Drosophila melanogaster: one gene and its partners. The protein of the gene in region 1 interacts with the protein of each later gene in a pairwise test. Each region holds a gene or a part of one and is shown on either strand. Other genes may lie near its edges.

Evidence for each region. The genes of interacting proteins can lie anywhere in the genome.
Region 2: the proteins of Fancl (region 1) and CG32206 interact in a two-hybrid assay, tested with the Drosophila melanogaster proteins (one large-scale study listed by BioGRID).
Region 3: the proteins of Fancl (region 1) and CG7220 interact in a two-hybrid assay, tested with the Drosophila melanogaster proteins (one large-scale study listed by BioGRID).

What each region holds. Positions count from the first base shown.
Region 1 is NT_033777.3:10,050,999-10,054,800, forward strand, and holds Fancl (fancl), read right to left. Parts: upstream 1,872-3,802; 5' UTR 1,809-1,871; coding exon 1,698-1,808; intron 1,641-1,697; coding exon 645-1,640; intron 588-644; coding exon 549-587; 3' UTR 510-548; downstream 1-509. Other genes in the region: ohgt (ohgata), read left to right, coding at 16-323; Npc2e (Niemann-Pick type C-2e), read left to right, coding at 2,400-2,466, 2,765-2,872, 2,931-3,262. UniProt on the Drosophila melanogaster protein: Ubiquitin ligase protein that mediates monoubiquitination of Fancd2. Ubiquitination of Fancd2 is stimulated by ionising radiation.
Region 2 is NT_037436.4:19,409,864-19,414,775, forward strand, and holds the start of CG32206 (uncharacterized protein), read right to left. Parts: upstream 3,050-4,912; 5' UTR 2,511-3,049; intron 1-2,510.
Region 3 is NT_033778.4:10,730,764-10,737,974, forward strand, and holds CG7220 (uncharacterized protein), read left to right. Parts: upstream 1-1,935; 5' UTR 1,936-2,033; intron 2,034-4,617; exon of another isoform or gene 4,618-5,056; 5' UTR 5,057-5,160; coding exon 5,161-5,292; intron 5,293-5,893; coding exon 5,894-5,985; intron 5,986-6,129; coding exon 6,130-6,232; intron 6,233-6,296; coding exon 6,297-6,528; intron 6,529-6,593; coding exon 6,594-6,607; 3' UTR 6,608-6,662; downstream 6,663-7,211. Other genes in the region: Daao1 (D-amino acid oxidase 1), read right to left, coding at 1-98.

The DNA of each region.
Region 1 (3,802 bases):
CTAACTACTTTACAGAGGGCTACATCCACGAGACAAACACCGTGTACCGGGTGATATCCCATGCCATCGGCTACAGCGGCGAGCCGTCCACAAAGTTTAGCTGGTTCCCCGGCTATCAGTGGCACATTATTCTGTGCAAGTTCTGCGCCCAGCACGTCGGGTGGGAGTTCAAGGCCGTGCATCCCAACCTAACACCCAAGGTGTTTTTCGGTTTGGCCGGCTCCAGCGTGCGGATTGGAAAAGCCAGCGAGTACTCGCCCTTCAATGGAACCACCTATGTGGTGCGGAATATGATGCGGATGATCTCAAGCGATATGGAATGAGGCTGGCGCGTTGTGAAGCGATTTTTCAGATGTCAACTCTGCTGCTGGCGTCGTCAGGAGAATGATGCGGTCCATCAGGTGGGACCTGTTTAATTCGTTTCACAACTACTTTTAGCAAAAACACACGGCGTTTGATGGCGTGGATGTAAACCTAATTGATATTTACGATTATTTGAATAATAAGTTACTCTTAAATATTTGCTTTTAATATTATGGTTACAAATTTCAATCATTTAAAAGTGCCGCAAATGAGGTGGACAGCTTCTGAAAAAGATAAAGCAGTTGTACATTGGCAATAGATGAAATGATAGGCAATATTACCGCCTTGCAGAAGGGACACTGGCCGAAGGAGACCTCCAGAAAGGTCTTGCCATCCATCAGAGTCTTAAACCACTCCTCCAAACAGACGGCATGGCACTTTAGCACACATTTGGCATTGTCGCAGGAGACGAGGGGCACCTCGCCACCATCCAGGCGATAGGCAAAGCAAATGTTACAGCGCAGCTCTTCGTTGTCCTCTTCATCCAGCTTGGGTCCATCCGACCAGTCTGGCATGGGAAAGTAGCACAAGTCGAACATTCGGAGTAGGTTCTTGTGAATGTTCATTTCGGAGTCCCAGTTACTTAGACCATCGCTGAGAACGTGGCGCAGGCGGGCCACCTCTTCCGTGGGCCCAATGATCTTTAGCGACATGGATGCAATGCAGGCAAAGGGATCCGCGATGGTCAGCTTCAAGTAGACGCGATCCTTGAGAGGGAACAGTCGTGTTTTGTGTTTGCTGCTGATGGGCGATGGTTGCAGCACATGACAAAGCTCGTCGATATCCATGAAGTTGTCGTAGAAGGGACGCAGATCCTCGAGAAGCTTGCGAAAGAGGTTTAGGGCCTCCTCTAGGTTTCCAGCACTCTTGGTCAGCATTTCACCCAGCGATACGCAGTCGGGCAAACTGTGATCAAGCAAGAGAAGAGACGGGATCTTAAGCTCCAGATAATGCTGCTCGAAGTCGGTGAATTCGCTGAAACGAATCATGGAACAGGCCTCGTCCACTTGCAGGCAGTACTCGTTTGACTTGTACAAGGCCAGGATATCGTAATATATGTTCCCCTCCCGACATAGTTCCTTTGGCACTGTTGGGGCTTTTTGGGCAGGAAGAATCTTTGGCAAATGGTCCAGAAAATCCTCCAGCAGCCAATCGTCCTGTAACTTGAGATTAGCCGATGTGTACAGCTTGTACTCCAAGCTTTCCTGGACGTAGAGCTGGAAACCATGAAGAGCTGGGTGGTGTGGCAGATAGAGTTTAAGGCGGCGCCATGTATCCTTAATTATACAATCATTATTAGTTTGGCGGGAAAAATTGAAATACGGATAACTTACCTCACTGCCCAAAACTCCTCTGATGATGCACGCTCCACTTGGCTGAAGCTCCGCTGCCAGACCAGGATACTTTTGACACAGAAGGCGCTCTACATCTTCGTTACTTTCCATTATATTTGATTTTGGTCAGATTGTGCTTGAATGACTTTTGTTTACATTTTATGTTTTGAACGGCCATAGTTAGAGATGTGCAGTCTTCGATGACACAAAGTCTTCAATCACGATCGATAGGAAATTAATCGGCCGCTTTTTTAAATTTGATTGCTCGATCAAACCTTAAATTATATGTTTATTAACCCTTCGAGCCAATATTCCGCCTTGCTTACATATTCACCCTCTGGCTGTTTTGTTTACTAGGTATAGCCGGCAACATTGTAGTTCAGCCTCTCCCTACTTATCAGCCAAATTTACGTTATTTACTGATTCGAATCGGCATTGTTTGCTCTTCGTCAGAGCGCAACACCTGCAGGCCACAGTGGTTTTCTTTTGTAACACCTGCGTGGCGGCCCCGTATCAATGGCAATAGCCACCGATTTTGATAAACTGCTCTCTACAGGCGTTGGTCATCGTTCGAACACGGGGCTATTTAAGGTTCTCCACCAGCCCCATCGATTCCACTCACGATTGTCATCTGCGTGCGCGCGTACTCAATGTATATTGTATTCTTCTGAAGTAAGATTAAAAAAGATTCCATCCAGAAAAATGCTGCGAATCGTTGTAACTTTGGCTCTAATTCTGGCCACAGTCAATGCCACCAATGTCCAGCAGTGTAAGTAGCTAAAAACTCTTTTATTTTGTTGGAAAAACATCAAATCATTTTAAATCGACCAGTTTGTTAGATTGGATTCATGATTCTAACAGATTTCTATGACGATGATTCACTTCGCAGACTTTGTCTCGAAAACTATTGCCAAAAATACGTTCTGAGAGAAATTTAAAGTCCTAACGTGTATCTGTTGGCCAGGTTGATATGGCTTATCAACAAACAGCTAATCTCTTAGAAAAAAAAACATAGCCTTCTTTTGAGCTCACCTTTTGATTCTTCGAAAACATATTTCCGCTTTCAGGCAAAAATAAGCCGTTTCCACTGGATGTGAATATTAAGGATTGCGAGGAACCGCCGTGCGTTGTGTACAAAGGAACCATAGCAGTCATGGAGGTGCACTTCCTGGGCAGTAAGTTTCGGCCATCTATATCCGTGTCCACTTGAATCTCATCATCGATGTCTTGCAGATAACAACAATATCAAGAGCATTACGGCCACCACAACGGCAAAGGTTTTGGGCATGAATCTGCCATATGCCCTACCCGACGAAGTGTCCGATGTGTGCCGCAATCTCCTGTACGGTGCCATCTGTCCCATCGACAAGGACGAGGATGTCACGTATCAGTTCAACTTCTATGTGGAGCCTTCGTTCCCGGAAATAACGGCGGATGTCACTGTCACGTTGAACGATGCGCAGAACGAACCGATCACCTGCTTCGTCGTGAGCTGTAAAATCCGGAAGGGAGCCACTGCAGCACAGATGGACGGATATCTGTTGGACTGGACGAACCCCCTTTAAGCCGACGATGTACGCAACTCCAGCCGTTTCGGCCGACTGAATATTTCCACTTGTTTGCCAAATAATAAACCACAAAACTCTTGCACAGATAAGACCATTTGTTTACCTTGGCTACGTCACGAATTCCAGTGTACTCAGTGCACAATCAGGCTGAAGATTAACACATTTCTGGGCACCGCCGATTAGATATTCAAGCGTATTTATTTATATACAGTCATTTGTGACGTTCCTTTTTGCACCGAAAGTCTATTAATTTATTTCCACTGATTCAGTGGCACAATTGGCTAATAAAATCGTCGTGATAATCATTTATTGGCCGCCGTAGATCGCATTGACCATATGGTCAAAAGTTGGGCTCTCCTGTGTGATAAGGCGATAAACGTCTTGCTGGGTGCAACAGTACACTCGGAGAAAATCTGCCTTAAAAATGTCTAACTAGTGATAGTGATTACCACCAGATTAAATCATAATGAGAAGTGTTTCCAAAGAAGCCTATCATTTGCAAACATGATTTATGGGATTACTTTCGAAGATATACAT
Region 2 (4,912 bases), on another chromosome or scaffold:
GTATAGGCTTATGTGCTCATATAAGTGATCAGCTGAATTGAATTGAATTGAATTGTTTATTCAAGTTAAAGCCTGTACTTTTTTACATTTTTATAAGTCAATAAATTTTACTTCGGAATTTAAATAGTAAAATGGACGCCTCTTGTTATATATCGGCAATGATACATGCCAAATAAAATCGAAGGGAGTACTTTCCTCAATTCCGATCATTTCCGTTTCCGATTTGGCACACTTTCGTTTCGCCACCCACACAAGCGAGCACTGCAAGTAGCGCCTAAGAGCAGGCTACACAGAATAAATTTATGATGACCAGCCGAGGAAGTTTGGCATGCATAAAATGTAACGATATCCCAGCTCAAGCCAAAATAAACACTTAATTTATGCCAGAACTCACAACTAGTCCATGAGTGTGAATGTGTGGGTGCAGCAGTCGCCTGCGGGCTGCACTGCAGATAAATCAAAGTCCGCAAAAAGTCTTTGACACCGCTCTCGGCCATGGTCGAGTGGCTGTTGGGGCGCCACCTCCAAGCCCAAACCCACTGCTCATCAACTTGGAGGTCTGCCTAACACTCGGAAAAATTATCACTAAGTTCCATTACAGTTTTGTCGGTTTTCCATATTTAAATGGCTTTGTTCTGTACATTCTCAGATATAACAATTTTTATAAGGTAACTCGCGATTACAAATAGACTTACTACAGTTATGTGGGATAGGAAAAATTACCATTTTTGAATAGAATTTTGGTTATTATTATCATTATTTTTCCATCTGTAAATTTCCATATCCTAATATAATAATGGTTTTTAAACTATTATAATTTTAATTGATTTGATAAGTACGAAAGATAATGTGGCACAGCCACCATTTTCAGTAATTTCACCAAAATAGTTTTTTGAACTCCTTAATCTATACGTTTATAATCTTCTCAATACAACATGATTGATGTTTTTAACATTTCTCTGCTGCCTAACAACAAGCATTCCTGTTAGTAAGTTCGATTTTTGGAATCCCATCTATGGAATTTTCACTGCCACACCTATTGATATACTAAACATCGTTTTTTCTGTGTGTTTCTCTGGAGAATCTGAAACAAAAAACACGTTACGTGCACACATATTCTGCTGACATCAGCTGTTTTGGGTAGAGCTTACGGCTTAGATTTTAGCTCTGACCTCGTTCTCGCACGGCCCACAAGCCAAAGTAACAAACAAGTATAAAAACACAGAGAAAATAAAGCAGAGTAAAATACGGCAGAACACGCCAGAAGACAACACAAGAATATGTTGTCCGATGGGCAAATATTTGTCGTAATGCGTAGAGCAAACAAAGTGCCTCTGATGATGGAAATATATTTGGGGAAAGTCTCGAAGCGGCAAGCCATAATGCATAACTCATACGCCACGTGGGCGGGAACCTCCACTTGATGTGAGTTGATATTCGCCTCCTTTTTCTTGTACCCGTAGAATGACAAAGTTAAAAGGGGCGAGTGTAGATATCGCAAATGGGTCGTCATCAACAATCTTTAAGGCGAAATTAACTTGACACTAGAGAGAGATACGAGCGCAAGAAAGTTTTGAGACTCATTTAAAGCATAACTTTTCAAATACCTTTTACTCATCAAACGAATGGCAGGTCTGCGTTTTATGAAGAGCATAATTCTCAGAATCCTGTTGAAATGTACTTGAACCTTTAAAACAATAATGTTGTTGGTTAAATTAGGTTACAGGAACGCCAATAAACTTTTTAAACGTCAGGCTTAACATATTTTTAAACATAATTAAGTCCACAACCGCGTCTCCAATAAAGCCAATATAGATATATTTTTTGACTTTGTGCTTATATTCGAAAGTTTTTGAAGGAGTTTATCCACTTTTCTTAACATGGAATTCTTTTAAATATTTAAATGAAAGTACCAAGCTCATCCGCTGCCAAAAAGTCCTCATTTGTGTTACAAACTCAATTCCATTAAATATTTGCCTGCCACAGATCCGAAAACAAAGCGGCGTAGTCACATTTTCATTACTCAAGCACTCGAGACCGGAAATCTGTGTCCTGACCTGTCTCAAAGTTCGTTTGGCTGGGCTACCTGTAATGCAGTCACAGGCCGTAAATAATAGACAAAAGCCAAAGCCAAAAACTATGTCAGCCGGGGCACACGAAAATAACCAATACACAAGTAATCCAACAGTTTGTAGTCCTAAAAGAAAGAGTACAAGTACGAATCCAGCGACAAGAGGCTGCCTGCAGACAATTCTTTGTAGCCGCCTTAAGGATTGTTCCCCCTATATATGTATGTATCTCCTGCCATATCGTATATGGAGTACATAATGTATCCATGTGTGTCTAACCGAGGAGATAAGTTGCGGCACACACACTAAAGAGGGCAGCCTTTCTCGGTGGGATTACCTCCTTTCCACACCAAATTTTTGCCCCATCCTTGCAAGTGCGGCAGGAAAGGAATTTTCAATTTTTGTTCTTTTACTTTTTGACTGACTTGGCACTTTGCTTACTTTAAGTTCGCTTAGTTGATGAGCTGCTGATGACTGGAAACTGCCTACGAAGATGCTTCGTTTGCTTTTATTACAATTGTTTTTTGCTCTGTAGATCCTTATGTTTTTGTGGGTGACATGAGGCGTCGGCGACCTTGACTGTCAGCTGCACGCATTTCACTGCTCGAGCCTCGGAGGAGAGGCTGCTCTTTAAATCTTCACTGTTTCATCAGCATTTTCCCAGTGGTTTAAGTGTGGCTCTGCTGCTGGGCAATCAATAAAACAACACTCCGCACACGTTGCGTATACGTAACGACTATCTGCTGATTCGGCACAATTTTGCTCTGGGAAAAATCACAAGAACACACGGGGCACTAAAGCACTTTAGCACTTAAGCAGCAGAATTTTCCTGCATTTTCATTGCTGTATTTCAATTAAATTTTTAACTTCATCCGCTTAACTCAACGCGCTGGGCGATTTATGCGATTTTCCCTGGCTGCGCGCTGGGTATTCTGCACGTAACGCGTCCTTGTTTCAACTACTGACATTCGAACGTAATGAGTTGGCCACAAACTCGGAATCCTGGACGCCCCGAAAGGCAGGCCAAAAAGAAGCTTTCGCCTCTCTGGCACTTCCATTCAGCGGATTTTGTGCGCACGCGCAGCCAAGATTTTCATTTTCCTCCGCTCTGCACGTGCTCCCGCTTTTCCGACTCTTGCTGTTGCCTCTCCACGTTTTTGTTTTGTTTTCGCCATTCGTCGTTAGGCAAGGTTAACAAAAACAAAGCTCTCTCCGTCGGTGTGAGCGTTTGCCCGTGCGTCTGTGTGTGTGTGTGTGTGTGTGTGTCTGGGCGCCAACATTCCAAAACATCTGATTGCTGTCAAAAAATGTTGCATGCGTCAGGGATTCTGACGGACATGCGCGTTTTTCCGAGGATATTATGTTCCCGATTTCAACTTGACTCCGGTTAATGTGGGTTAATTCTGGCACGGCATTGCGATGGTCAGGTGAGCTCGGATTGTTCGGAATGTCCGAAAATTCCAAGACACATCGATTTGTGCTGATTTTAGTGGCCAGGCTATAAAGAAGCAGAATTCGGAGGTGCACAATGGTAATGGGATTATTTGGCAGCTATATAGATATATATATATATATATTAAAGGCCTTTTAAGAAGCACAATTGCATACTAGGTTCAAATATTCGACAAAGTTGCTCTAAATAATGAACAACTGTAGGAAAATACATAATTCCATGCCATAAGAAGCGCTTAAAGTAAAGCCCTTTGAGAGGGATATCTACCCTAAAATAGAGTAAATCAGAGCTTATCAACAGCCTAAGCCAACATTAAAGTGCCAGCACCCACTGTGCCACCAGGTGGCATCTGCCTTTTGCTGCGGACAAACCCGAAACTAACCACCAATTACGCGTACGCCCCTCTGCCGGAAAACAAAAAATATGCCACGAAGCGCTGGCTGGAAGCGAAATTACGGCGGGCACCGCAAAATAAAATGAGACAATTCCGGTCCAGGAGGACCAAAGCCAGGTTCCCAGCCCGGTCTTGCACCTGATCCAGCGGCAGTTAACCCCAACTGCAGCTAGTTAGTTAGTTTCTGGCGACCTGCATGCATGCATACTCGTACATATTTCAGAAAAGTTGCGACATTTTCGCAGGGGTTACTTTTTATTTTGCAGCCGGCGCGTGAAAATCCGAGAGGTGACACTTGTCCAAATTATCTTGCTGGATAAACAAGCGCACTTAACGTGTTATCAGATGCAAACGATGCCGGGATCCAGGATCCCGGATCCAGGATGCAGGATCCAGCAGGACGGCGCTGCCACACACACTCGCACTCGCCGAGGGTGAGAACATAACCAGCATTGTAATCAAAAGCAGGCGAAGGCTGGAGGAGCGAACAAAACTGACATGCAGTTGACTCCAAAAGAGTCGTAGCCTCGCAGGACACGCGGCGAAGTCCTCCTGCCACCACCCTCCATCCAATGGACGCTCGGCAGTCAGAGTGTGACAGAGTCGACAGGGAAGCATCTTTGCACTGTAAACAAGCTTTACCCCAAAGCAGCCCACTAAAATGTCAGGTGTTCGTACCACAATTTAAGCATCTTTTAATTATGAACATATATAAGTACTTCTACTTCTCTCAGAAAAAGTGTGAGTTTCGTTCCTATAAAGAAAGTTGTAAAGACAGATAAAAAATGATACATTTGGATTCATACTCATATTCTTAAGCAGCGGCGCTTTAAGGAATAACGATTAGAAAATCCCAGAAGTTTCTTCCAGTGCACATGAGTGTGAGTGCAGGACCTTGTTTGTGTGCGTCCGCACAGGCGACAGCTGCTGCATAACCCATACAACCCGTACAACCCGTGCAACCCGTAAAACCCGTACAACCCATATAGCCCATGG
Region 3 (7,211 bases), on another chromosome or scaffold:
TCCGCAATCACGGAAACCCTTGCTGTGGGAAACTCCTTCTGGAGTTCTAAGGCGGTCGTAAGACCAATGATACCGCTTCCCAAGACTCCGAAATGCATTCTGGATCCGCTTTGAGTTGATACCCAATCCCAATGGAAGGCGATTTGGTACTGAGCATGCTTTTAAAGGTGCTTGCGAAGCTGGCTGCGTCTTATCAGCTCTTATCAAATCCGCTCTCCATCGCGCCTCCAAAGATGAGATAAACTTTACTGCTCTCTTTTAAAATTGCAATAAACACTTTTTCCGTTGTTTTTATTATGGTTGCAAACAGTGCTGCACGCTTACAGTAGACTTTAATTAAGTATAACGAAATATTAATGTAACAGTGAGTATTCAATACGAGATACAGCTTTTAAAATAGATATAGAATTAAATGTAGCCAAATTTAAATAAAAAAAGCATCTTTGCTTAAAAAACTGGCAAAATACATATATTTCATAGCTTAAAAATAAGCTAATTGTTTGTCCTATTCTTTCTTACGGGTATCTACTGTACATCGAAAATACTGTGTTGAATCAGCTGTTTGTACTAAACACATCTAAAAAAAACACATCCATTCTAGGGACCACAACAACTTTTCTAAACTGTCGTCAGTATAACTTGTCAACCCAAATTGGATTGACAAATTTTTAAAACAATTATTGTACTCCGCTGAAATTAAACTATTTACCGGCGTTCAAAGCGGAAAACTCAAAAATACCTACACGCGGAACAGCTGAGTGCGGTATTTTTTAGTTTCGCTCACAATTTGTACGTGCGATGCACGAATCGTTTTCAACACTGCCCGGAGGGTCACACTATCCACTCAGATATTTATTTTTCTAATAACATTTACTTAAAAGCAGACTTTACGCAGAGCTTTGGCCACGGAGGAAACGGAACAGATAGCCAGCGAGCGGAGCAGCCAGGACTTGGAGCAGGAATCGGCAGGAACACCAGGACGGATTTCCCCAAGACAAGCAGTAGTAGTATGTCTTCGAAGTCGCCAAGCGAGGTGAGTTCCCTTTGAAGTCTTGGGATAATTTCGATATCCGAGGCGTATTCAATATAGTAGAGGGTTTTAACCGCAGCTGGGCAAATGTTAACGATCCGGAAAGGTTTCCCTTCCGCAATCGCGTGTCGGACTGCCATCCCACGAGTAGAAGGTTCAACGTCATCTTATCGTTCTAGAGATTCATAGCTGAGGAGTGACACAGCGCTCTGCAATGATAAGCTTGTCCAGCTTCTTGCTCGATCTACCAGTCCGTCTATCGTTATATAACTTATTGGTTTCTGCAGGCCGAGGTCGTCTGACCCCGGTCGCTAATTGCTGCTAACCCCGCCATAATCGGGCCGCTGTTTGTGCCCACCCACAGGCCACAGACACGGCCCAATGTCATCTGCCTCCCAATGGCCAAATGTTTACATGGCATTCATTGCACTTTCCCTTCGCCTGAATGCTTGTTTATGCCACATAAACAATGCATTTGCATTTTGGCAAAAAACCTTCGATCCTTGCCAGCTCGATGCTCTTTAGGGAGCTGTTAACCTGGCATGGGGAGTTTACTATAGCTCGCTTGAATTTCATTACTTTAAGGGTTTGCCATATGACCATAAAGTTTATAAAACCTGTGTATGTATCAAGTCTTGGCATTGTATCTTTGCTCCTTGGCAATACGTCTTATATTTAAAATTGTATTGTATATTTTACCGGTCGGGATATTTATTGTGTACCTTTTTTAATAAGCATTTTGTACCCGCGCAAATATAATCTGGTTTAATATTGTTCGTTTATGCAGCACCTTTCTCATCAAGCAATGTCTTTTGTATACACATAAGTACAATACATATGTGGCTCACGCGGATCGCTCTCCCGTCTGCCGAAAATAGAAGCTCATCGCCATTGACGCCGCTCGCATTCAGTGCTCGATGCCACGCGAATTCGCACGCGCCGCTCTGCCAGATTCTTCGCGACGCGAAATTCATAAGCCAAAACACTTCGATTCGGATCCAAAGTGCGCAGGTTTAACTTTTGCCAACCATTGATCACCGGTGGCCAAGCGTTTTTCCCAGGGATCCTCTTGTCCGCTCCTCAATTGCGACATCATTGGCACGCGCGAAACATATTAATTGCCCGGCGCTCCCATTTACTCATTAGATCACTATAAATAAACAGCAAGCCATAGCCACCACATTTTAGAACCAGTTTATAGATCGTTTTCAATACCATGAAAAGTGTTTTCAAATTTTGTTATAAATCTGATATCAGCCTGTAGTTGAAAATCAAGAAGTATCAAGCCTTCGAAGTGGCATCATGAAATATGCATGGGCCAATCCGATCACAAAGAATATCAGATTCGCCATAAGGAAGTGTTTTGCCTTGTTAGCACTCCCGCGAGTCAATTAGTGATTTATGGTTGAGTTTAAAAGGCGGTTTCGAATGGCATCCAAAGGGCAGCAGAGCAATTTAGCTGTTTGAAAGTGTCTCCTTGATAAGGTCTTGGCAATAGAGGGATTATTGAAGTCACTGACCTGCCAAACGTGATCGCTGATCGGCAGATTTAATCGCTGTAAAGTGTACCTGCGCAATTTCATTGACGTTGCGATTAATATGTCACTTTCCTCATCAGTTTTCGCATCACCTTCACAGCGAAGAACGCTTTAATCTCAGAAGAGAGACACCTTTGCATTTAAGTCGCTTACATTTCATTTTATTTTAATTTAATTACTGCGATTCCGTTGTCTTTTCCTCACAGCAACAAGTTTCGCACATTGTAATTACACACGCCTTTCACGTGTCTGCGACAACAACACGTCCTCGTTCTGATGGCTTACGTTTCCTAGATTTCCCTACGGCTATATACAATACTTCCATGTCAGCGGCAATCGGCCAAAGGAGATGCTCTAGATGCGCTATGGAACTTGTTGCTCATCCGCCGCGAACGTGACACATGTCGATTGCCGCTCTCTTCAAGCTGATGATAAAGCCGAAACTGGCGCATCAGGTTTTCGTTATTTTATAAAACGCCACTCAGCACGATCTCTGACGTCAGAATGTACGATGATGACGTACCCGATGATTTATCGACCGGTGGCGAAGGGGGCAGGTGGCTTCTTGCCAAGTTTAAGGTTGCAGCGAGTTTATTATACACACTTATGGCCCATCCCTCGGTTCTTCCGCTTTCACCTTTACCGTAATGCGCTTAGCATTTCTCCGGTTCAGGAAATCGCTTTATATGGTTTTCAGACCGGGCCTCTGGGCCTCCCACTTGCATAATTTGGCCAGAGTGTAGTGGCTTGGGTTTGTTTATTTTAGCCTGGCGTGTGATTCACAGCCCAAGGTTGGCCAGCAAATGCGATTTCCAAAACATTTTTCGTGGCGTGATTCATTTCAAATGATTTCCCCATCATGCAGAGCCACCCACAATCCAAATCTTATGTGTTTATGTCTACGCTAATCGTCCTTCACCCTCTGGCTTACCTCCAAAATACTGCGGCTATCAGCTGCCAAAATGTTTATCAGCCACAAAGATTTTGGTGGTGGCACGCTTTATTCCTCGGCCATTGTGCTTAGCCGAAAAATATTCTAGGAAAAAGCGAAATAAATAAAAAACAGACGCGTCCCCCCTTTCCAGCGCCACCAAAGTCTGGCAGTCGCTGGTTTATTTGTTTACACTCTGCTTGGCTTTTATTGCCGAAGAATTTTTCGAGTCCATTGTTTGGTTGTTTTGGCTGTTTTCATAAAATTTCCCAGGCAGCGCTCTTCTAGACGTTGGCATTCAACTGCAGTTTTATTTATTTATTTCTGGCTGATTCAAGCAGCTTTTGTTTTGCTCTCTAAGTTTGATTGAGTCTAAAATAAACGCAAGTAGCCCCCGCTGAGTGTGGCGCGTGTTTATTGGTCTGGCCTACTTCAGCGCTGATTTTTTCGCGTTTGGCGGCCCATTTGGGTCCATCATACTATATACTATACTATAGTACACTATGGTTGCGGAACTTATTTAATGGGTCCACTTAAATTGGCCTCGCTAAGTGGTTGTCGATCTGTCGCTTCATTTAGAACCAGTTCTCTGTAAACCAGTGTCCGACTTATATAATCGATCATCTTCTAGGGCCCTGCTTGATTGCTTTTAATCATGAGCAGACGCTCGTCTTCATTTCAGTTTAAAAGCCGAAGATTTCATTGTGCCATCAATTGAAATGTATGCCCCATTGACGTATGCAACCGTCTTGAACACTTGTGTTCCTTTTGTTCGAGTATGTGCAGTGAGCAAAATGAGTTCGCAATTTACTGGGAAAATGCTTCTTTATGAACTTCAGTAAGTGCTGTTTACCAGTTGAACTTCCGTAATATTAAAATTGTTGATTATATATAAATATATTTTTGGTACCTCAATGCGTAGAGCTTTTCCCACACTGTATTAACATATACGTAGGATGTGCTTATCGCCACTTCCGTCGCTGTAATCTAATCGTGTGCTTATCAGGTAATGGCTGCGTGCCAGGGCAGTGGTCCGATAAGCGTTTCTGCCAATACCTTTGGTGGAGCGAGGGGCTGTGAGAGCCACCATTTCGTGATCCGGGGACACAATCGCGACTTAAGTTTAGGACCAAACCAGCTGGACGGGCAACTTGTTCAGGTTAACGAACTAGTTTGGGCCGTTTCTCGCTGCACTTGCGAATTCTCATTTTTGATAGTGCACAACCAACGTAGATATGTATACACAGATCGGGTGAGAGCGGGGGGTGGTGCGATTGGAGAGGTGCCGAAAGCGGCGACGACTTCTACTACTTGTGCCCGACAGTACGTACACAGAGACACGTCGCTACATCGGGCTTCGTCACTCGACTCGCCCTGCAGTCTCTCCCACAATTTTCTGGGCGCTTTCCTGCAGTCGTCCCACGAACGTTGCCGCAATTGGTCTACACGAATCGGTTCGCTAATAAAATGACTGCCATGCCCCACGCCCACTCTCGCCTCCTAGGAAAAACGCTGGCATATTGAACTGTGCGACTAACTAACTTAAATACTTAAAAGCAAGCCCAGCAAGCCGAGAGCAATCTGCCTAAAAGTGACAAGTTATAGGTGACACAACAAAAGCTAAAATTTGTGAGAAACTGTGTGAAAACTAGAACTACAAAATGATGAAGCTGTTTAAAAAACCCAAAGACAAAATACCCAAATCGGAGATTTTAACCGAGCCCAAGGAGCCCAAAACACCGCCGGTCTCCAAGTGCGGAAAACCTTTGCAGTTGGACAACTCGCGATGGGAGGCAAGTATATTCGAGATATTAAACCTGAACTTTGGCCAGATATCGCGTTCGAACAACTGGTCGTTAATATACATATAGTGTTCCATTGCATCATGAGTATGTAGTATTTTGAGTTTCAAGAAATCTGCGTGAATCTTCTGTTGATTCTCTTCAAGGCTGTACCAAGATTTGTTTTTATTATTCTTGGCATTGCCAAATCCAAACCTTATCGATCAAACCCATTTATCCGCAGCTCATTTGTGGGGGCAGCGGTGCGATACTTGTTTATGGTACAGAAAACGGGCCTGCAAGTGCCAATCACTCGATAAGAAGGGGGATCCGAAAGACGGAAAAACAATCGTCGGTTCTATAAATTTCAGTGACATTTGTTTTTATCTTATCGAGCATTTCGTTTATTTATACGCGCGTAGGCATATAGCGTATATTGGCGTTTGTAAGCCAAAGGAGAAATGGCGCACCGATAAGGCGAGCGGAAAAAATAAGTCTTGAGAACTCTTAAGTAGAATGTCCCAGCTGTAGGTGTGTTTCGCGATAAGATATACGGCGAACTGTCCGAGTCATTAACTAATATAAGTCTTAAATTTTATTTTCTGCCCCACAGCGCCGCCTACACAAAGAGCTGATGTCCCTGATCAAGGAGCCGCCACCAGGCGTAACCATCGACACCGAGAGCGTACAACAAAATTTATCCGAGTAAGTATGGACTTCGAGGCGGAGTAGGCCAAGTTCAGCGACAACTGAAACTGGTTTAAATCAATTCGCAATTCAGCAATTCGCACTGAAAACAAAGCCCGCAGTTGTTGGAAGCTGACACTAATATCGCTGTTTTGTTTACAGATGGAAAATAAACATTAAAGGTTTCGAGGGCACACTTTACGAGGGCGAGGACTTCCAGCTACTTTTCAAATTCAACAATAAATATCCGTTCGATTCGCCAGAGGTAATAATTCAGTTGAACAAAGCGAAGCTGTATGGAATCTTAACCATGTTCTCTTAATTTCCAGGTGACCTTCATCGGCACCAATATACCGGTGCATCCGCATGTCTACAGCAACGGACACATCTGCCTATCCATTCTGACCGAGGACTGGTCCCCGGCGCTGTCCGTGCAGTCCGTGTGCCTTAGCATAGCCTCCATGTTGAGTAGTTGTCGCGAAAAGAAGCGTCCGCCGGACAACACGATATACGTAAAAACCTGTAATAAGAATCCTAAAAAGACTAAATGGTGGTACCACGGTACGTATGCGTGATTTTCCAACTAAAGCCCACTGACTCTAAACTTGACTAATTGTTTATTTCAGATGATTCTGTTTAGTTAAAATTGCCATTTACTAATACTGCCTGCTATTGTTTGCTTTGCGCATCCAACCAAAAAAAAAAAAAAAAAAAAAAACACCATTAGCAATACAGAAGTAGAACACGGCGAGATGCCCCCAGAAATCCAAGAAATGTGGGACGGCGGTCAAGCACTGCTCGTGAGTGGAGCATACTAAAACCCAAGTGCACTCGGATGCGAACGTAATGTGCAACAAAGTAAATGAAGTTAGCGAGAAACTTATGGGTAGTGTTTGGCAAACAATCGTGGCGCATGCAAACAATTCTAATTGTAGCTATGTGTAATCAACAAAAGGCGTGTGCGAAAAACTATTATTAAATGTTAACATTTTAATTAGATTGTTAAGACCAAATTTATGTCTAAATTAAATGTTATCCTACCATTTAACCACTAAGCGTATGCAAACCACTTGAACGTTTGATAGTTCTGGCACCTCGCGCCAGTTGCTGCTTCCACATTCCACATGCATCGTTCGCGGCATTTTCTGCCCGAGTAGCGTGACCCAGCACACACACACATCGCCTCCATCCCAGCTTATATTAATTTTGTGTATTTTATCATCATAGATGAGAAGCAAAACTCA